Arabidopsis thaliana: one gene and its partners. The protein of the gene in region 1 purifies or fractionates together with the protein of each later gene. This does not show direct contact. Each region holds a gene or a part of one and is shown on either strand. Other genes may lie near its edges. The genes, in order: CSY2, AT4G00600, CSY5 and EMB3127.

Region 1 (6,022 bases):
AAATGCATTCCTGGATACCAGAAGGATATGAAAACCTTTAGAGCATGATTAATACAATAATACAAAGAAATCAATGGATGTAGACTCACACTTTGTCTTCATCAGTGAACATTTCCTCTCCAAAGGTTTTAACAGCCACGTCAATTCCACGCCATGAAGCCTTGTTAAAGGTACCCTGTAAAGCAGACAGACAGTAATTACAACTGTGAACAGCAAATAAAAGCAAGTGAAAACAGCAACAAATAAATTTGGGCAAGGGAACTACTTACCTTTGAAATTTTGACAGAGTTGGAAAAATCAAGCTCTGTAGGATGAATCTCGTACTCTGGAACTTCTTTATCAGTTAGGACATGCATAGGAGCAATCTAAAATCAGAAACGATTATTAAAGAAATCAATCCAAACATTCAGAAACTAAAACATCCATCAATGCAACTATGAGGGATAAACACATACCGTAGGCTTAGCACCATGTTTCTCCAAAAGTTTAATCACATCATGATTTTTGTAATACACTGCATCTGCAAGAGGCTGGTAAGATCAATCACAAATTGTTAACCATCACTGTTATTGCAACCGAGTTTGCTAAATCTAAGTGCTCCAGTAAAACATATGATTTGTGCGGCAATTCGTCGAACACAAAACGAACTAAAGAGTCTACGAGAAGTCAAGTCAGGCAAAGCAAACAAAATTCAGCCCAGAGAAAGTTCGAATTCATACCGTACTACCCCATCGGTCCTTCGTATCAACCTTAGCACCACGGCTAAGCAGCAGCTCAACGACATCGGTTCGTCCTTGACAAGCGGCGACGTGAAGAGCAGTACGGGCATCGATGTCACGGTAATCAACATTAGTACCCGAATCAAGCATCTTATTGATGCCATCGATATCACCTTCGTTGGCTAAATACATTAAACGAATCGTCGGATCCCCGATCCCAGCTGTAGCCGCCGCAGCCAAGTCGTCGTCCTCATCTTCCGTTAACGTATCAATCGGGGTTCTTGATTCCGGCGCAAGCGAAGACTGCCTACCTAGCTTGAATCTCGCCGGCGATTTAGGCTTAATCGTCATGTTCAACAGAGGACTTGGTGAGAATTTTCTGCCGCAAGCAATATGAGCTGTAAATGGAACTGTAACGGCAGCAACAGAAAAGAAAAAGAAAAGTAGAAAAAAAAGTCCCAACCAATCAGCAGGCTTTAAGGGTTTGCCTCTTAATGCGGGTGAAGTATCATACTCGTTTTCCTCCTCCCTACTCATCATAATCTACAGTACTTCATTTTTTTTTGTAATTACTACTCCTTTTTTTATTAAAAGGCTAATTGCATTTTTTTCTCTCTTTTTTGTTGGACATAACTTTCTCCTTTTTTGAACAATTTAACTGAACAAACAAATAAATTTGATTAGTGCAAAAGCAAAGGATGGTACAAAAGTGTGAGTGGAGGTTTCATAATTGAATCACTTTTTAAATTTCAAAGATATTTTGAAAATAATTTGGGATAGTCAGTTAAATACTAAAAATTATAAAACTGCATTTAATTTGCAAACATAACATATGTGTTGTGAGAACTGAGAAGTGACCTTGGTTTAGTAGCAGCGTTCACAAGTCCATCAAAAACTGAATGGGGTTTTAAGTTCCTTCTCATACATAAGAGTTAATTGGGTTTAATGGACCGGCCCGTTGTGACCCAATGCAGTGTATTACCAGCCTCTTACTGGTGAATCTTTGTGCTACAAATATAAAATTTCCATATGTTCATAAATTTTAACTGCAAAGATATTGGACCATTTCCCTTGTTCTTATTACTATTGTCATCAGCCCAGGCGTAAAGAGCTAATGGGCCGATCAATACACTTAGGGAAATTAAATTTCTCAATGTGAGACCAATGAGTTGGCCCATTATCGAAAACCAGATAGTTATTTAGCAATCCGAGGACGCCAATCGACTTCTACTCGATCTACATAGCGTCTGAAAGACACTCGCTCGTGTTCTTCCACCTGTCATTCTCATTGAGCGCGTAGTCTTCACTGCCCTTGCCCGGGTGGATTTCAGAAACGAAAGTCTTAATCCTTTGATAAACTTGACAGATAAGCCTCTTTAGACTTTCCATATTAGTTTTTGACGAACAATTCTATCCGTTGATCTAAGCTGAATAATCTTATCACCGTCGAGCTTTGGATAAACAATGGATCCGATTTTCAATACACTTACCCGCAGAGAATAAAAATATCAGCTACTACCAAAATTAGCAAATGCAGGATACAAAAGCCAAGTCACTTACCGCAAGATTGTTTCTTCTTCTTCTTCTTCGCTTCCTTCCTTTGAAATTGAATTCAGATATTTTTTTTAAAATTTTTTGAGAGGAAGAAATGGAGATTTCGCAGAGAGTGAAAGCTAGATTAGCCGTTCTCACCGCGCATTTGGCGGTGTCTGATACCGTCGGATTGGAACAGGTGTTGCCGGCGATCGCGCCATGGTGTACATCGGCTCACATTACCGCTGCACCTCATGGATCACTCAAAGGAAACTTGACGATCGTCGATGAGCGTACGGGGAAGAAATATCAGGTCCCTGTCTCAGAGCATGGTACCGTTAAAGCCGTTGATCTCAAGAAGGTATGTAACGGATTTGTAATCCTGAACAGAATTGTGGAATCGAGTTAGTTTTATCTGAATTTTGATTCGTCTCACCTAATTTTCCCTGAATATGATAAGGAATTTGATGGATTTGCATGTTTGGTGTGCAGATAACGACGGGGAAGGATGATAAGGGGCTGAAGTTGTACGATCCTGGTTACTTGAACACGGCTCCGGTTCGATCTTCGATTTGTTACATCGACGGAGATGAAGGAATCTTACGTTATCGGGGATACCCAATTGAAGAGTTGGCTGAGAGCAGTACTTTTATTGAGGTTGCTTATCTCCTCAGTAAGTCTTTATCAATCTCGTTGCTTATTCTTGTTGTTGTTGTTGCTTATTTTACTTTTGTGGCGTCTACTTGTGGAAAAGAAAATGTCTTGAAAATTGTGTCTCTCTTAGTGTCGTGTTAAAATTCCCCTTTTTTTGTCTCCAGTGTATGGAAATCTGCCTTCTCAAAGTCAGCTAGCTGATTGGGAGTTCACTGTTTCTCAGCATTCAGCTGTGCCACAAGGAGTATTGGTGAAATTTCTACTCTTTCGTTATTTGGATTTTCATACTAGTGCAAATTCCAAACTTTGTATCAGAATGCAAATCCAAACCAAAGAGGGATTTTGAAAATGATTTCTTGTCAAGTGTACAAGTTGTTTGTCTTGCTTGTAAACCATGTCTATTAAGGATACTGGATCTCTTTCTAGTATTAGTACCTTATGTCTTACTCGCCGTTGTGAATATAGTTATGTGTATATGCTTAGTAAAAGAATTTTCTATGGATTTTTGATCTGAGACGATTTCTGAATGTTTTTGCAGGATATCATACAGTCCATGCCTCATGATGCACACCCAATGGGAGTTCTTGTGAGTGCCATGAGTGCACTTTCTATCTTTCACCCTGATGCAAATCCTGCTCTTAGTGTAAGTTTTGAAATCCTGTTCTTTTCGTACTGTCAAGATGCCTTTTTCTGAAAATGGCTATGCCAACTCGATTTTCTTTCATTGGGTGCAGGGCCAAGACATTTACAAGTCAAAACAAGTTCGTGATAAACAGATTGTTCGCATTCTCGGAAAGGTATTGTTCTATCTGTTGATGATTTGTTTCCTTAACGTATCTGTGTATAAGTTGCGGGACTAGAAAAAGGGTTTACAACGTGTTTGCAGGCACCAACAATTGCAGCAGCTGCTTATTTGAGGACGGCAGGCAGGCCTCCTGTTCTTCCTTCGGCCAACCTTTCTTATTCAGAGAATTTCCTCTATATGCTGGATTCAATGTACTTTCCCCTCTTTCTTCTGTCTTTATTTGATTTAACACTTGCATTTTAAAAGGGTAGTCAGAAAAACTGTGTTTCTTTAGTCAGTTTAAATCTGTTTCAAGCTTCAAACGTGTCTGTAACACAGGATACATTCTTTAATCTTCAATTGATTACAGGGGCAATAGGTCTTACAAGCCTAATCCTCGTTTGGCTCGAGTGCTGGACATCCTCTTCATACTGCATGCTGAACATGAAATGAACTGCTCTACTGCTGCTGCTCGGCATCTTGCCTCTAGGTACTTATCAGTTATCACTGATTAGAGATATTCATTTAGACTTCTTTGAGTGTTTAAATCAGTATTGTGTTTCTGCAGTGGTGTTGATGTGTACACCGCATGTGCTGGAGCTGTTGGGGCGCTTTATGGTCCACTTCATGGTGGCGCGAACGAGGCCGTGCTTAAGATGTTAGCAGAGATTGGGACTGCTGAAAATATTCCAGATTTCATTGAAGGCGTGAAGAACAGGTAACTCAATGCTTAATAACTACAAGCACCAAGTACTCTGAATTGTGGTGAGTCATGCCGGTAATGTTATATCCCTTTTCTATGTTCTCAGAAAGAGGAAGATGTCAGGTTTTGGACATCGTGTTTACAAAAACTATGACCCCCGAGCAAAAGTTATAAAAAAACTGGCAGATGAAGTGTTCTCCATTGTTGGTAGGGATCCTCTCATCGAGGTACTGTAGATCCTTGTGCTCACGTATCTCTCCTAGTATTTGGTTGTCAAAAAAATTCTTATATAACATGACTGTGGGTTAAATTTTGTTTTGACGGATGATGTTTTCAGGTAGCAGTTGCTCTAGAGAAGGCGGCACTGTCTGATGAATATTTTGTTAAGAGAAAGCTGTACCCAAATGTTGATTTCTACTCTGGATTAATCTATAGGTAAGACATTGCTGATTCATCTGACATAGACCCTGTAACCATTAAGTTCTTTACCTGAACCTTGTGTTGGTAATTGAAATGGGGGAAAAACACAGGGCAATGGGATTCCCACCAGAATTCTTCACAGTCCTGTTCGCAGTCCCGCGTATGGCTGGATACTTGTCACACTGGCGTGAGTCGTTAGATGATCCTGACACTAGGATCATGAGACCCCAACAGGTAAAATACATAACTTGTTTGATAGATCAAAAGGTTTATAGTTTGAGCTAACTGAATTGTGTGGCTGCATATAGGCCTATACTGGAGTGTGGATGAGGCATTACGAGCCAGTGAGAGAACGAACGTTATCAAGTGATTCGGATAAGGATAAGTTTGGTCAAGTTTCCATTTCGAATGCATCAAGAAGGCGTTTAGCTGGATCATCTGCCCTTTAGTCTCAATCCTAATACTCACCAATAAAGAAGAAAACATTGGGATACCTCTGGGAAAACAAGAGAGTCTTCTCAACAACATGTGTTGTTTTCTTTCTCTTATTCTTAAACACTTAATAATACAACCCTATTCTTATTGTTTGTCTGTTATTTTAAAATGTTATGATTTAATAATAATAATCTTGTTATAGGGAACGACATGTACTTTTGATAAATTGCGCTTTTATTCCTGTTAATGTTAATTTCTGAAGACATGTCTAACACATTGGTTTGGAAAATGTCAACCACCAAATCATATCATTTAGGATTAACTGAATGTTATTTTTAGGGTGAATATGTTATGCAGATTCCAAGTGATAACAATAAGCTAACCACTCATTGAACATCATATCATATTTTTTTGTACGGTATTTATAATTTGCCTGAAAGTTTCCTATCATTTTGCATTATTGCCAATAATATTTCCATTTCAAATGAGAACAATTGTGAGAAGTGTGAACAAATATAAAAGAAAAGTGACGTTAAATAACAAACCCTGGAGTACCTGACACTGATTAACAGAAAGAAGTAAGAAGCAACCAAAACAATACATAACTGTCGCAGAGACACATACTTAAAATTGGTTAAAAGCCACAAAACTCTGATTGAAGACAAAGAAGACACTGTAGATTCACGCCAATCATACCCACAAAAGTATTAAGACAAAAGTGTTACGTAATGAAATTATCAAATTTCCCCACTATAAAACCATGCATGCCTATAT
Region 2 (3,409 bases), on another chromosome or scaffold:
TTTATGATAATTGTAATTAAATAAAAAAGATATTACTCGATTAGTAATTACTGATTAACTGAATCATTGATCTCATTAAACAATTAAAGAAAGATTACTCGATTAGTTAGCATTTAGTTTTAATTTTTTTAATATACTAAAAATACCAATCGGAAATTCAGTTACCAAAATTAGATTTATTAACATTTACTTTTTGAATTTTAGATGTACACCATAAACCCCGTAAAATTGGTCAAAGATTTATGATACTTGTAATTAAGGAAAGAACCAAATGCAATATATGGTTTCGGTGCAAAACCTTAAAACTGACCAACTTCTCAATTTTTTATTTAAAAACCCTACCAAATTTCTCTCTCGTTTCTCTCCGATGGCCAAGAACAAGACTTTGGTTACTCCATCAACGGTGAAGAAGTCATCTGACGTCGCATCTACGTCAAAGAAACTGTCGGGAGTCGCATCTCCAGCGAAGAAACCGTCGGGTGTCACATCTCCGGTCAAGAAGCCGTTGGAAGCCGTCGCATCAACTTCATCTGAGGAGGAGGAGGAAGATGAGCCTTCCAGCGATTCAGAGTCGGGATCGGAGAGTGAGTCTGACACTGAAGCTGAGCCGATGACTCTTGCTGCTGCTGCTCCTTCTTCTTCGAATGAGAAGAGACAAAGTGAAGGAAAACCAGAGGAGGAACGAGCCAAGACTGAAACAGAGACGGGGAAGAAGCCACTGTTGTTTCAGAGATTGTGGACTGATGAAGACGAGATCGTCTTTCTTCAAGGAATGATCAAATTTGCTAAGGATACAGGTAAGAATGTTTCCGAGGACATGAATGGCTTTTTCGAAAAACTTAAAGATTCGATTAGCTTTGAGGTGAAGACTGATCAGTTCGTTAACAAAATCCGGTCTATGAAGAGAAAGTATATTGAGAACAAGAAAACTACTACAGAGCATGATAAGAAGTGTTACGAATTGGCTGAGATAATTTGGGTAAGTGATGGTGATGCTACTGCTCTTGTGAAGCCAAAGAAGAAGAAGCTTAAGGTTGATGAAGAAAGTGATTGGTTCGAGAGGTCGTTTGTTGATGGTGCGTTTAAAGAATTGGGTCCGGGGGTTGATGAAGAGACATGGAAGAAGAATTGGAGTTTGGTACCGGTGAAGAAGAGGAAGAGGATAGAAGAAAAGGTGAAGTCCATGCAAGCTGATGAGCTCAAAACGACGTGGCAGAAGATTGACGTTGTGCATGAGATGAGATCTTTGATGGCTAAATATGTTTAGTCTTTATCTGTTTAGAGATGCATTTGCCTATGTTTTTCTTTTTGGTTTTGTGTTGGAACCTTTATGGCTTTCTCGTTTATTCATATGTTTTATGTTAAAGATGTTTTTTTGGATAACAAAAATAGGTGGTTTTTTGTTTGCATCTTAGTCTTCTTCCTTTGTTACTACAGACATGAAATCGTTAGATAATTATGATATGATATAAACTAATAATGATTCTAGGAGATAATTCCTAATGGATTTAAGATAAGTACATATCTTCTATATCTACCTTTACACACACGTTAACTTAGAAACAATCTACTTTGTTTTCTTCTGTTTGCCTAGTAAACAAATGGCGTCGATGATGTTTACTGATTGCTCCTCCTCCACAACGTCGCGTCTCATCCATTTATACAACCGCAATGGTGTTTTCCTCCCCCGCCCGAGCGTCAGCCAATTCAGCTTACGGACAACTGCGTCTACTTGGCGCTGCACTCTCTCCATTCGCTCCTCTTCTTCTCCATCTGCGATTGTAATTGATGGAAAGGCTGAGGCCAAAAAGATTAGAGATGATATCAAAATCGAAGTTTCAAGAATGAAGGAATCAATCGGTGTGGTTCCTGGTTTAGCAGTAATCCTTGTTGGAAAAGAACAAGGAATCCGCTACTTACGTGAGGAACAAGAAAATAGCTTGTGAATCCGTCGGAATTAAATCAGTCCAAGTTCGTCTAGCTGAAGATTCATCAGAAGAAGAGGTGTTGAAATATGTATCAGGATTCAATGATGATCCTTCTGTTCACGGAGTCCTTGTTCAGTTGCCTCTACCATCGGTAAACAAAGTCTATCTTCATATTCTTCATCATAACTTAAAATAAACAGTAAATTACAACGGTGTTTTGGGATGTCGTGTATATGCAGCATATGGATGAACAGAACATATTGAATGCGGTTAGTATAGAGAAGGACGTTGATGGATTTCACCCGCTAAATATTGGACGGCTTGCCATGCGTGGTAGAGAACCTTTATTCGTTCCATGTACTCCAAAAGGATGCATCGAGTTGTTGCACAGATACAACATTGAATTCAAAGGCAAAAGAGCAGTTGTTATTGGAAGGAGTAACATTGTTGGTATGCCAGCTGCTCTGTTGCTGCAGGTAATGATGATTCCTTCTTCAATATGCCATTTTTTCTGGTTAGGACAACATTCTTTATCGATGTTTATTTTCTAAATGTAGAAGGAGGATGCAACCGTTAGCATTATCCATTCAAGAACCATGAACCCTGAAGAACTCACAAGACAAGCTGATATCCTAATCTCAGCTGTTGGGAAACCAAACATGGTCAGAGGAAGCTGGATAAAACCGGGTGCAGTCCTCATCGATGTTGGGATTAAACCTGTTGAGGTGAGTGGAATTTTTTGACATATGGTAGTATAATGAATGATCAAATCAAATACAGTATGTGAAAGTAATATGAATTGCAGGATCCAAGTGCTGCCGGTGGAGAGCGGTTGGTTGGAGACATTTGCTATGTGGAGGCTAGCAAAATTGCATCAGCCATCACACCTGTTCCTGGTGATGTAGGACCAATGACCATAGCCATGCTTCTATCCAACACTTTAACATCAGCCAAGAGAATTCACAACTTCCAGTGACTTCAAAGATGATTGCTCGCCTTTTTTTAAATAAACAAATCTTACTTTGGTTTTTTGAAGCCAATGATTTTTGCTTAGCGTTAAGTCAGAAATAATATTATTTCGGTTCTTGTTCTTTGATTTTAGAGGTTACCTTATCCAGATTGTGAGTTCCCTGATTATCTTGCGGCTTTGCTAGATAATTATTTGGATCTTTATAAGTTTGTGTGTGAGCTTTTGTTCATTTTGGGAGTAGAACTACCATGAAGCAACTGTGGTGATTGGCAAAAGCATTTTTGCTTTATCAAATGTATCTTTTAACGTAATGTAAGTCTTGGAAGATAGCTTAAGGATGAAGTCATTACGATTGATGTTGGAAGTCATTTTGGTGTGTCCCATGACTCCTATGTTACAGATTCTGAAACTTTTCTCCACAAAATACCAAAACTTCAGAAATTAATCAGCAACAGGTTGGGCGGAGATCAATCCGGGCTTCAAAATGGTCTACCCCAGCCTCACTCATCTG
Region 3 (6,192 bases), 470 kb from region 1:
CCCAAAACAATACAAGAAACCTGAAATCCAAAAAAGAAAAACCCAAAATCTTCGCTTCTTCATCTTCTTTTTACGTTTATATGGTGAGAAATTCTATGAAGGCTGAGTACGATATAGATCATCTTCCTCATCAAACCTTTTATGGTGATTATTCAAAAACTTTGGTTCCCATGAACAAGAACTCCCAAATAATAACCAAGATCAAGCCTAAGATCCGTATCATCCATATATTTGCTCCCGAGATCATCAACACCGATGTCAAGAACTTCCGCACACTCGTCCAAAGTCTAACCGGGAAACCGGAGATCACCAAAACCGGTTCTAAGAAAAAGATAACCAACACAAATTTTCCTGCGCCACCGGGTTTGCCTCAAGATTCCGGCCAAGAACATACGGCTGAACTGGACAACAGAATAATAGGGAGCCACGTGGTGAAGGAAGAATGGGGATCAAGTTCAAACACAAATACTTACTTTGATTTTGACGGTTTGATCGATCTTGATGAAGACGACAACATATTCTCAAGTCGATGGTTTGATCTTCAACAACAATAATTAGTTTGGTCACACCTTACCCTAATATGTAGGGTTTCTACTAATCGTAAGTCCTGTTGGTTTTGATGATGATTTGATCATTTATTCGATATGGAGCATAACAAGACATGGGTCAAGACAAGACCAAGGTTGAGACGATGATCATCTATATAGGTAGGAACATACATAACTTGTATATATGTACAAATGTTTGGATTTTTTGGGCTTGGGTGCCCTTTGATTTAATTTGTTAGACTGACTTAATTTACCAAGAAAGAGTGTAGTGATGAGTTTGTAGACTGATTTTGCCAAGAAAAAGTAAGTTTGTGTTTTGATCTCCGATCATGTGAAAACTCTACTTAAAAATGGTGTAACGTTGTACTCACGCGTGCGTGTGCAAGTTTTATATATAGAAAAGCGAGAATGATATTGTGATTGAATTTTTTAGATTGTTCATTTTTTTTCGTCAAATTATTTTGTTTGTTAATTCATATATAAGTCATGTTACTTACAACAAATTGTTTGATAAAACAAAAATGAATTCCATTAAACTGAATTAACGAAATACTATAATGATAAATGATTCTTACATGACTCTAAAAGAGTTTCGATTTGAATATATAAATGAATAAAGTTCTGTTTTATTGGCGATGTTCTTGATATATACCTTCAAAACTTTATGGCTAAATTACATTTTAACTTCTCAAAACGTTAGATTATGAAAGGTGGACTCACATTTCATAAACATTAAAATGATATGGTAATATGATTATAATGAGTTGTAATGGATATATGTCATATTTTTCCAATCTCATTCATTGAAATATCAGTTTATTTTTTGGATGACATAACGATCAATAGTGTCATATAATATGATATCCAATGTTTTAATATTAACTAGCTATAGCTATATCCATCATTGTTAATAGTTGTGTTACATCATTAAATAGTATTTCAAAAGAATATAAAAATTTCTGATAACTAATGGAGAATGAAGAATATCAAACCGCCCATTCGACCAAGAAATTATAATAACGAAGTTTATAACTTTTTTTTTCAATTGTGAAATGTCATTTTTACTTTATTTATTTCCAACAAAATAAAATTATGTTTTATCTAAACCCTTGGACTTTACCAAGAAGCTACTTTTTTATTTAGCAACAGCAAAAGCTACATACCATTTGTTCTTTATTTATTAATGACCGTTTTTTTAGGCATTAGAATCGTTACGGCTGCTTCGAATCTTGCGTCTCACGGACCGACGGAACTAACCAATCTCAACCGAACCCGAACATAACCTGTTCGTTTGGTTTTCTAAATGGTAATCAATTGGTTCATTATACCGGTTTGGTAAGAAGAATCCGTGTGTTTGGTTTACATATGTTGTAATTTGACGCTTGTTCATCACGTTGCAGATATATCTCAACATCTCTCAATTTTTCTCTCTACGTTGAAGAAACTTTCGAATTTCCCGTTAGTTCTTCTCCACGCTTTCTCTTTCCCTTTATCTCTTATCTGGTTAAGCCAATCTTGATTGTTTGGATTCGTAACCGATCAGTGTTGTGAGGTTTGAAAGAATGGTGTTTTTTCGCAGCGTATCAGCCATTTCAAGACTACGGTCTCGAGCAGTGAGTAGATTTAGCTTTCATCCTTTTTGTGTTTTGTTTGATGTGATACAATTTGATGATCAGATCTAATATAAGAAGCACAGGTGCAACAATCCTCACTTAGTAACTCCGTCAGATGGCTCCACTCTTCTGAATTGGTACTTTCTTAGGTTTTCATGTTCTCGTGATCATGCGGTTCAGTTTGAGAACCAAAAATTTGGAATTTTACCTTCTAGGTTTTGTGTTGATGTTGCTTAAAATGATGGTAATGCAGGACTTGAAGTCGCAGATGCAAGAGATCATTCCAGAACAACAGGTTTAGTTTCTACTTCGTTGTGATTGAGATTGTTTCTAATTTTAGGGCAGATTTCATGTAGAGATCAAGCTCTTCTCTCTGTTTTAGTTGATGTCATTTCTCATACACAAACACAACTTTCAACTTTCAGGACCGTTTGAAGAAACTGAAATCAGAACAAGGAAAGGTTCCAGTGGGGAACATCACCGTTGATATGGTACGGATTCTAATGATATTTGTGATTACACAAAGGCTTTATCTTTTAAACATACTCGTATATATAGTTTTACATGTGGTATTTGTGAAGGTACTTGGTGGAATGAGAGGGATGACTGGATTACTCTGGGAAACCTCATTGCTTGATGCAGATGAGGTATGGTTATAATTTTGATCACATAGATAATTTTCAGGTCAGATCTTGAATTAGAATTATATAACATATGATATTATCTTTTGTATCAGGGAATACGGTTTAGAGGCATGTCGATTCCTGAATGTCAGAAAATATTACCTTCAGCTGAGTCTGGAGAAGAGCCCTTGCCTGAGAGTCTTCTGTGGCTTCTATTAACTGGAAAGGTGTGATAATCTTAAAACATTTTATACATACAATAAGTTTCAACTTTATATATGAATGATCTAAAGTATAGTTTTCCCTCCTTTCGGTATAGGTGCCAACTAAAGAGCAAGCTAATGCTTTGTCAACAGAGTTGGCTCATCGTGCGGCTGTGCCAGGTTTGTAGTTCACCTCTAGGCTCTGTTTGTTTATGACCTCAGTTTCATGACTCATCAAAACTTAGCAAAATACAAGCTGATGATAATTATAAACTGGATATTATGATGTTGCAAATATAACAACTCTCCATTGCAGATTATATATACAAAGCTATAGATGCTTTGCCTTCAACAGCTCATCCAATGACTCAATTTGCTAGTGGTGTTATGGCCCTTCAGGTGGATTGCTCTGTTATGTACTATTTTTTTTTTCTATGCATTCTCTTAGAATTTGTTTATTTTCAGGAGCATCTTATCTTGTTGATTGTTATTCAGGTTCAAAGTGAGTTTCAAAAGGCGTATGAGCAGGGTGATATTTCTAAGTCAAAGTATAAACTTTCAATAGTTCTATACTTTGTTTCTTGATTGGCTTATAGTAGTAGGCATCATAGAAACTGAGGTTTCTTGTCAGGTACTGGGAACCAACCTTCGAAGATGCCCTAAACTTGATTGCTCGTGTTCCTGTTGTAGCTTCATACGTTTATCGGAGGTTAAATTTTAGGATCTTTTCCAATGCTTTTAGCTTCCTGGACTAGTTAATTTTCTTAGATTTTCCTTTCTTCAGAGTGTTATTTTTCAATGTCCATTCTAATTCACATTGCAGGATGTACAAGGATGGTAGCATCATTCCATTAGATGATTCTTTGGATTATGGTGCAAATTTTTCACACATGCTGGGATTTGATAGTCCTCAGATGAAAGAGCTCATGAGGCTTTATGTCACTATCCACAGGTTAGTCCTGGTTCTCTTCGTTTCAACATGTCTCATTAATTAGAATACATAAGCTAAAGTTTTCTTGTATATAATGATGATCTTCCTTTATTTTACCAACTCTTACCAAATTTCTATAGCATGATCAAGGTTTTTTTTTCCCTTGTCTACTGGTTTCTGTTTTAGTGATCATGAAGGTGGAAATGTTAGTGCTCACGCTGGTCACCTGGTATGTATTTGCCACATGATCTTGATGCATGATAATGTTTTGAACTTATAGACATTTCTGATGGTTCTGTTTTTGGCTAATGATGTTTCTTCACTTAGGTTGGGAGTGCACTTTCAGATCCATATCTTTCATTTGCTGCTGCATTGAATGGTTTAGCTGGGCCACTCCATGGTTTGGCTAATCAGGTATTTATATCCTTAATGAGTCTTATATTGTTCGAATCTACAAGTGTATATAACTTGAACTCTAAGATTGACTCTTAATTATAAGCTTAAACTTGGAATCTTACTCTGTTTTTTTTCGTTGTCTTGTTGTAGGAAGTTTTGCTGTGGATCAAATTAGTTGTTGAGGAATGTGGAGAAAGTATATCAAAGGAACAGCTAAAAGATTATGTCTGGAAAACGTTAAACAGTGGCAAGGTTGACAAAATTATGCTCTGCTTTGCCTTTTGAAACTATCCATATGTATTGCATGCTAATCATGACAGGCCATAACTTGAATTATTGTATAAATAATGAATAAAAGCTTCGGATTATGTTTTGATTATGGGGTTTGCCTGTGAATGTTGTCAGGAAACTTAAATAAACATTTGTCTTGCAGGTTGTTCCAGGATATGGCCATGGTGTTTTGCGTAAAACGGATCCAAGATATATATGCCAAAGAGAGTTTGCCTTGAAGCATCTACCTGATGATCCTCTTTTTCAGCTGGTAACTTTTTTTCCCCCTCAAATCTTTGGTCATGCTTTAAAATTTTACTGGCTCACAAATTATGCAAGTCTATAGGTCTCAAAACTTTATGAAGTGGTGCCTCCTATTCTAACCGAGCTGGGAAAGGTACTACTTATACTCATTCATTTCATGTGCTACCAGATTTTCTGATTTTCTCTGGTTTTATGAATCTTGAAATTGCTGTATCAGGTCAAGAACCCGTGGCCTAACGTTGATGCTCATAGCGGAGTGCTTCTGAACTACTATGGTCTAACCGAAGCAAGGTAGGAACTACTTGTGTATCGAGGCTTTGACCTTGTTTTGCTGAATCTTGGTTATTATAGAGTGACATTCCTTTCAAATATAGATACTACACGGTGCTTTTTGGCGTCTCAAGAAGTCTTGGAATCTGCTCGCAGGTACATACATACATTCATGCCATCGACAATTCGATTTTAGTACGTATCGCCATATCCTTCACAATAAAGTCAGACTAATCTTTTATTCCTTTTCTGTTTCAGCTGATATGGGACAGGGCACTTGGACTGCCACTTGAGAGACCAAAGAGTGTAAACATGGACTGGCTCGATAACTTCACGCGCTTGAACCGCTAAGTTAATCCCTGACTGATGTTGGTCAAGGTTCTCTCTTTTATCACTTCAGCCTTCTCTTCCATTTGATTGGGTAGCTTTTAGAGATAAAAAAAAAACGATTTTTCGTCGAAATTTTGTTCTACAGAGTTTTCATTTTGGTTCTTCTGCAAAAACAATAAAGTCAAACAAGTAAAGAAACAGTCTTTCTCAGATTGAGACACCATATTATTGTTCCTCAACTTTGATAGACAAATGATGACCATTGATATGTATTGATTAGTCTTTGGTGAATTATCGCATAATAAACAATACTCATGCAACCAGTCCCGCTCAAACAGAGTGTTTGAAGTGAACAGAAGCAGAGTCAAGAAATTCAAAGCCTCGGGATCAAACAGAAGCTTCCTCCTATCTTAAGAAGCTCCCTACGAAGCTTTATGATGATTCTACAAAACACATTTGCTATCTTCAGTGAACAGTAAGATGCAACGTGTTCTCTTCTAAACCTTCAGATATTTGGCTAAGTATAAGACTCTTCGTAATCACAAAAAGCCAGAAATGCGAAATTGATTTTGAGTCTTCTTCCTCACAAGTTTTCTCTAACTTTCAGAGGAGTCGCTGGATCCTGTTACCGAGAATTATTAGAAACCGAGAGCAGAGGTTTCTAGCTAGGACAGGAAATATATTATTAGAACATATCCTAGTCTTCCTTGTCATGGCCAGTCCAGTGGTGCAAGAGAAACATAC
Region 4 (4,830 bases), on another chromosome or scaffold:
GTTCTATTAGTTTACAATTAGTCATTTAAATGAAAACTAGAAAACGATATTGTCATGTTTTATGGATATGACAGCTGAGGTTTCAGTTCTACTTTATTCCCATGTTTCCTCTAAGGCTTGATTGGTATTTCTTCCAGGGTATAATGACTCCGCAGCTATCTTCATTACTGTTTCTCGTCGTGGGAATATCAATGGCTCTTACTCCTTGGTTAGCTGCTGGCGGCCAATTAATTGCGTCTCGATTTGAGTTACAAGATGTTCGAAGTTTATTACCAGTTGAAAGCGAGGTACTCCTTCACAACACTTTAAAATAAGTCATTTATCACCATTCCTAGTTTCAATTGTAAATTTAAAACAATAAAGCCATGATTGACCTCAATATCCTTCCGAAGCTCATGCATTCTTGGGGTAAAAATGACTGATCCTTTACTTTCTGAATTTACTTGCAGACGGATGATTTACAGGGTCACATCATTATTTGCGGATTTGGACGAATTGGGCAGGTTGGTATCGTTATCTATAAACTTTGTTGCGAAAACAAACTCCTCTAGAAGTTTAGATAGTTTGATTTAGAGAATAGTTTGGTGATATATGATTAAATTCGTCTTTGACCGCTGCTTTCTAAATGTTAAACGCAGATAATCGCTCAGCTTCTTTCTGAAAGACTTATCCCATTTGTTGCCCTCGATGTCAGCAGGTAATGTAACATGCTTGCCTTGTCTTGCTCAATGTATCTAACCAGCTCTTTATTTGTCTCATTTCGCACCAAAAATCTCTTATTTTACAGTGATAGAGTAGCAATTGGTCGTTCCCTAGATCTTCCAGTTTATTTTGGAGACGCTGGTAGTAGAGAGGTAAGAGTAGAAAGCTGATGAAACAAGTCAAAAGTATAACCACACATCATCCAAAATTATTGACGTTGTTTTACCTATACGTGCAGGTACTCCACAAAATCGGGGCAGATAGAGCATGTGCTGCGGCTATTGCTTTAGACACACCTGGAGCAAATTACAGGTGTGTCTGGGCTCTTAGCAAATATTTCCCCAATGTCAAAACCTTTGTCCGTGCACATGACGTTGATCATGGTCTCAATCTTGAAAAAGCCGGCGCTACCGCTGTAATAACTTCCACAACTTTTCTATTCTCCTTCTGTCATTGCACAACATTTTCAAAGTAAACTGATTAAAATCTCGATACAAAAACTCGTTAGGTTGTTCCTGAGACGCTGGAACCAAGTCTTCAGTTAGCAGCTGCTGTTCTTGCACAGGTACAAGAGATAATTCTTGTAGTCATTAAGTCACCAACAATGTTATTTGGGGTATTTGTTAAACTTGTCGGCTTCTTTTTCAGGCCAAATTACCTACATCAGAAATAGCAACAACGATCAACGAGTTCAGATCTCGTCACTTGTCTGAACTAGCTGAGGTATATATTTGGTCTATTTAAAAAACTACAATTCTTCTTACTCTCCGGTTTAATGGATCCTATGATGGTACAGCTATGTGAGGCAAGTGGAAGCTCTCTAGGTTACGGGTTCTCAAGAAGTACGAGCAAACCAAAACCACCATCACCATCTGAAACATCTGACGATAACCAGATTATTGAAGGCACACTCGCTATCTAACCTTTTTTCTCGCTTCTGGTAAGACCACACAATTTCAACTTCTTTTGCTTAAAACTGTACAGAAACCAAAATCCTTATTTTGAAGAATCTTAGCGGAGAAAAAGTAACAAACTCTCAAAATTTTGATGGGATGATGATGTGTTGAAATTTCTCTAGTTTCTTTCCTCTGGGGGAAAAACAAAGGCAAATAATATTTGTATTCAACATATTGGGTCTAATATGTGAATCTATCCCTCATTTATCCGACACTATTTGTCTGTACTTTCTACCTTTGCTTCACCCTTCAACAATCTTGGCAATCGCAATAACATGACTTGCTCTGATACCACTTGTAGTACATTTAGCTTTGATTGTTGGAGCTCTCGAGTTAAATCACAAGGGTATATATATCTAGTGTGGTACTTTAGACCGCAAATAGAGAATAGACCGTAAGTCAACGAACTTACATGTATTGTTTATATATTGATCAGTGTTAATTACATGATTAATCTGAGTTTAAGACGACTAATCAAATTAAAAAGCTACTAAAAATATGAAGCGGTCCGATTGGATTTATTAAAAAAGAAAAGAAAACGAAAGACTGGTATAATAAAACCGGAAAATTCAGGTGAAATCAACAAACCGGTTTCTTTTGTGATTTGAATGAACTTAAACCCTTGTTGATATCAAAAGAAGAAACCCTAGTCTCTCCGACTCTCCGTAGACGACGAAGTTATCTTCTTCAATTCATCGTCTCTTCTCTGCTCTGCTTTGCTCTAGATCACAAATTAAAAGACTTCATTAGTCTTCCTGTCTCCACCATTACCTTCTTCCTTTTTAACTCAGCCACGACGAGCAGACTATTGTTCTGTTTTCCTTGTATAAAAATGGCGTCGATGATGTTTACCGATTGCTCCTCCACCACGACGTCGCGTCTCATCCATTTGAACCGAAGCAGCGGTACTTTCCTCCTCCGTCAATGCGTCGGCCAACTCCGTTTACAGACCACTGCTTCTGGCCGTGGCTGCTGCATTCGCTCCTCTTCTTCTCCCATTTCTTCCATTTCCGGTAATGATTAAACCTTTTGACTTAATTGAGCACCAAATTTGAACTTGACATCGATTGAAATTTGTAGACAATTAGACTGTTCTTCCCTGGAAAATTGAGTTTCTTTATTCTCATGTTGGAATCATAAATTTTTTTTTTTTTTTTTGGTACAGCTGATACAAAATCAGAGGGTGGCGCAATTGTAATAGATGGAAAGGCTGTGGCAAAAAAGATTAGAGATGAAATCACAATTGAAGTTTCAAGAATGAAGGAATCAATTGGTGTGATTCCTGGTTTAGCAGTAATCCTTGTTGGTGACAGAAAAGATTCTGCAACTTATGTGAGGAACAAGAAGAAAGCTTGTGACTCCGTTGGAATCAAATCGTTCGAAGTTCGTCTAGCTGAAGATTCATCAGAAGAAGAGGTGTTGAAATCTGTATCAGGATTCAATGATGATCCTTCTGTCCATGGAATCCTTGTTCAGTTGCCTCTGCCATCGGTAAACAAAGTCTAATAACTTTCTTCGGAACTTAAATAAACAGTGAATTACAATAGTGTTTTGGGATGTTGTTGCAGCATATGGATGAACAGAACATACTGAATGCGGTTAGTATAGAGAAAGATGTTGACGGATTTCATCCGCTAAATATTGGACGGCTTGCCATGCGTGGAAGAGAACCCTTATTCGTTCCTTGTACTCCAAAAGGATGCATTGAGTTGTTGCATAGATACAACATTGAAATCAAAGGAAAGAGAGCGGTTGTTATCGGAAGGAGTAACATTGTCGGTATGCCAGCTGCTCTTTTACTGCAGGTAATGATGATGATACCTTCTTTAAGATGCCGTTTTTTCTGGTTGTGACATTCGAAAGTTAGTTACATGTTTGGTCTTTATTGTTGTGTTTTGTATTTGTAGAGGGAGGATGCAACCGTTAGCATTATCCATTCAAGAACCAAGAACCCTGAAGAAATCACAAGAGAAGCTGATATTATAATCTCAGCTGTTGGACAGCCAAACATGGTCAGAGGAAGCTGGATAAAACCGGGCGCAGTCCTCATCGATGTTGGGATTAATCCTGTTGAGGTGAGTGGAATTTTCTTTTTGACATATGGTCATGGCGTAATTCAGTGATATAATAAGTTTCAAATCAACCAGTATGCAACATTCATACATGTACATAATATGAATTGCAGGATCCAAGTGCTGCGCGTGGATATCGATTGGTTGGAGACATTTGCTACGAGGAGGCTAGCAAAGTTGCATCAGCCATCACACCTGTTCCTGGCGGTGTAGGACCAATGACCATAGCCATGCTTCTATCCAACACTTTAACATCAGCTAAGAGGATTCACAACTTCCAGTGACGTCACTTAAAAAGAAGATTGCTGGCCTTTTGGGAAACAAACAAATCGTACTCTGTTTTTTGAAGCCAATGATTTACTTTGGTCTTTAAAGAAAGTTATCGTTTTGTTCTATGAAACAAAACATGTAGTTTTTAAGTCACATAAATTGTCTTCAACATTGTTTGTCTCTTCTTGGTATTTTGAGTCAGAACTAGTTTTAACTTATCCCAGCTATGATATATCCCAGCCTCACCCATCGGTCTCTTCGTCATTATACTTTATTTATAACTACCTTTCAACGAAGGTTAATTTGAAACAAGAAAACACAGTCACTTGTTCTACATTACTTTTGTTAAACCCTAACTTGAGCTCGAAGCCACGACCACTGTTCTGTTTTCCTAGTAAAATAATGGCGTCGTTGATGTTAACCGATTGCTCCTTCTCCACGACCTCGCGTCTCATCGATTTGAACCGCCTCAACGGTGCTTTCCTGCCCCGCTGGTGCGTCAGCCAACTCAAGCTTTCCCACCACTGCGCCCGGACGTGGCCGCATGCGCTCCTCTTATACCACTGTGCCCGGACGTGGCCACATTCTCTCCATTCGCTCCTCTTGTATAGACTAAACCTTTTCATCCAATTGCTTACGTATTTTCAGATATCCAACTCTTAAGATTTTACTTTTCTGTTCAGCTGATGAGGCGATGGTATTTGATCAAACGGCTGTGGAACTAAGTATCATGCAGGAGATCAGAGTCGAAACTTCAAGAATGGAGAAACTAATCAGTCCTGGTTTAGCAGTAATCCTTTTTGGGGACAGAGAGTTCTCTGAAGAATATA

The links.
Region 2: the proteins of CSY2 (region 1) and AT4G00600 fractionate together in Arabidopsis thaliana (co-fractionation; one large-scale study listed by BioGRID). This does not show direct contact.
Region 3: the proteins of CSY2 (region 1) and CSY5 fractionate together in Arabidopsis thaliana (co-fractionation; one large-scale study listed by BioGRID). This does not show direct contact.
Region 4: the proteins of CSY2 (region 1) and EMB3127 fractionate together in Arabidopsis thaliana (co-fractionation; one large-scale study listed by BioGRID). This does not show direct contact.

Annotation. Positions count from the first base shown.
Region 1 is NC_003074.8:21,723,804-21,729,825, reverse strand, and holds CSY2 (citrate synthase 2), read left to right. Parts: upstream 1-1,688; 5' UTR 1,689-2,367; coding exon 2,368-2,613; intron 2,614-2,744; coding exon 2,745-2,925; intron 2,926-3,070; coding exon 3,071-3,156; intron 3,157-3,444; coding exon 3,445-3,549; intron 3,550-3,640; coding exon 3,641-3,703; intron 3,704-3,792; coding exon 3,793-3,902; intron 3,903-4,060; coding exon 4,061-4,180; intron 4,181-4,258; coding exon 4,259-4,408; intron 4,409-4,499; coding exon 4,500-4,620; intron 4,621-4,730; coding exon 4,731-4,828; intron 4,829-4,923; coding exon 4,924-5,047; intron 5,048-5,121; coding exon 5,122-5,262; 3' UTR 5,263-5,520; downstream 5,521-6,022. Other genes in the region: AT3G58760 (Integrin-linked protein kinase family), read right to left, coding at 1-10, 90-175, 270-365, 456-530, 720-1,259. UniProt on the Arabidopsis thaliana protein: Peroxisomal citrate synthase required for the fatty acid respiration in seedlings, citrate being exported from peroxisomes into mitochondria during respiration of triacylglycerol (TAG).
Region 2 is NC_003075.7:254,815-258,223, reverse strand, and holds AT4G00600 (Amino acid dehydrogenase family protein), read left to right. Parts: upstream 1-1,613; coding exon 1,614-1,872; intron 1,873-1,981; coding exon 1,982-2,079; intron 2,080-2,167; coding exon 2,168-2,404; intron 2,405-2,485; coding exon 2,486-2,653; intron 2,654-2,733; coding exon 2,734-2,904; downstream 2,905-3,409. Other genes in the region: AT4G00610 (DNA-binding storekeeper protein-related transcriptional regulator), read left to right, coding at 281-1,267; AT4G00590 (N-terminal nucleophile aminohydrolases (Ntn hydrolases) superfamily protein), read right to left, coding at 3,344-3,409. UniProt on the Arabidopsis thaliana protein: Catalyzes the oxidation of 5,10-methylenetetrahydrofolate to 5,10-methenyltetrahydrofolate and then the hydrolysis of 5,10-methenyltetrahydrofolate to 10-formyltetrahydrofolate.
Region 3 is NC_003074.8:22,190,778-22,196,969, forward strand, and holds CSY5 (citrate synthase 5), read left to right. Parts: upstream 1-1,952; 5' UTR 1,953-2,110; coding exon 2,111-2,161; intron 2,162-2,244; coding exon 2,245-2,298; intron 2,299-2,414; coding exon 2,415-2,456; intron 2,457-2,586; coding exon 2,587-2,652; intron 2,653-2,742; coding exon 2,743-2,808; intron 2,809-2,897; coding exon 2,898-3,011; intron 3,012-3,103; coding exon 3,104-3,167; intron 3,168-3,303; coding exon 3,304-3,386; intron 3,387-3,482; coding exon 3,483-3,535; intron 3,536-3,618; coding exon 3,619-3,696; intron 3,697-3,810; coding exon 3,811-3,939; intron 3,940-4,104; coding exon 4,105-4,147; intron 4,148-4,245; coding exon 4,246-4,332; intron 4,333-4,464; coding exon 4,465-4,566; intron 4,567-4,747; coding exon 4,748-4,855; intron 4,856-4,930; coding exon 4,931-4,981; intron 4,982-5,065; coding exon 5,066-5,139; intron 5,140-5,222; coding exon 5,223-5,274; intron 5,275-5,376; coding exon 5,377-5,469; 3' UTR 5,470-5,670; and 1 more. Other genes in the region: AT3G60090 (VQ motif-containing protein), read left to right, coding at 81-554.
Region 4 is NC_003075.7:258,449-263,278, reverse strand, and holds EMB3127 (Amino acid dehydrogenase family protein), read left to right. Parts: upstream 1-1,989; 5' UTR 1,990-2,490; coding exon 2,491-2,671; intron 2,672-2,823; coding exon 2,824-3,149; intron 3,150-3,226; coding exon 3,227-3,463; intron 3,464-3,565; coding exon 3,566-3,733; intron 3,734-3,843; coding exon 3,844-4,014; 3' UTR 4,015-4,292; downstream 4,293-4,830. Other genes in the region: KEA2 (K+ efflux antiporter 2), read left to right, coding at 138-287, 450-503, 639-697, 788-854, 941-1,117, 1,211-1,267, 1,351-1,425, 1,499-1,624. UniProt on the Arabidopsis thaliana protein: Catalyzes the oxidation of 5,10-methylenetetrahydrofolate to 5,10-methenyltetrahydrofolate and then the hydrolysis of 5,10-methenyltetrahydrofolate to 10-formyltetrahydrofolate.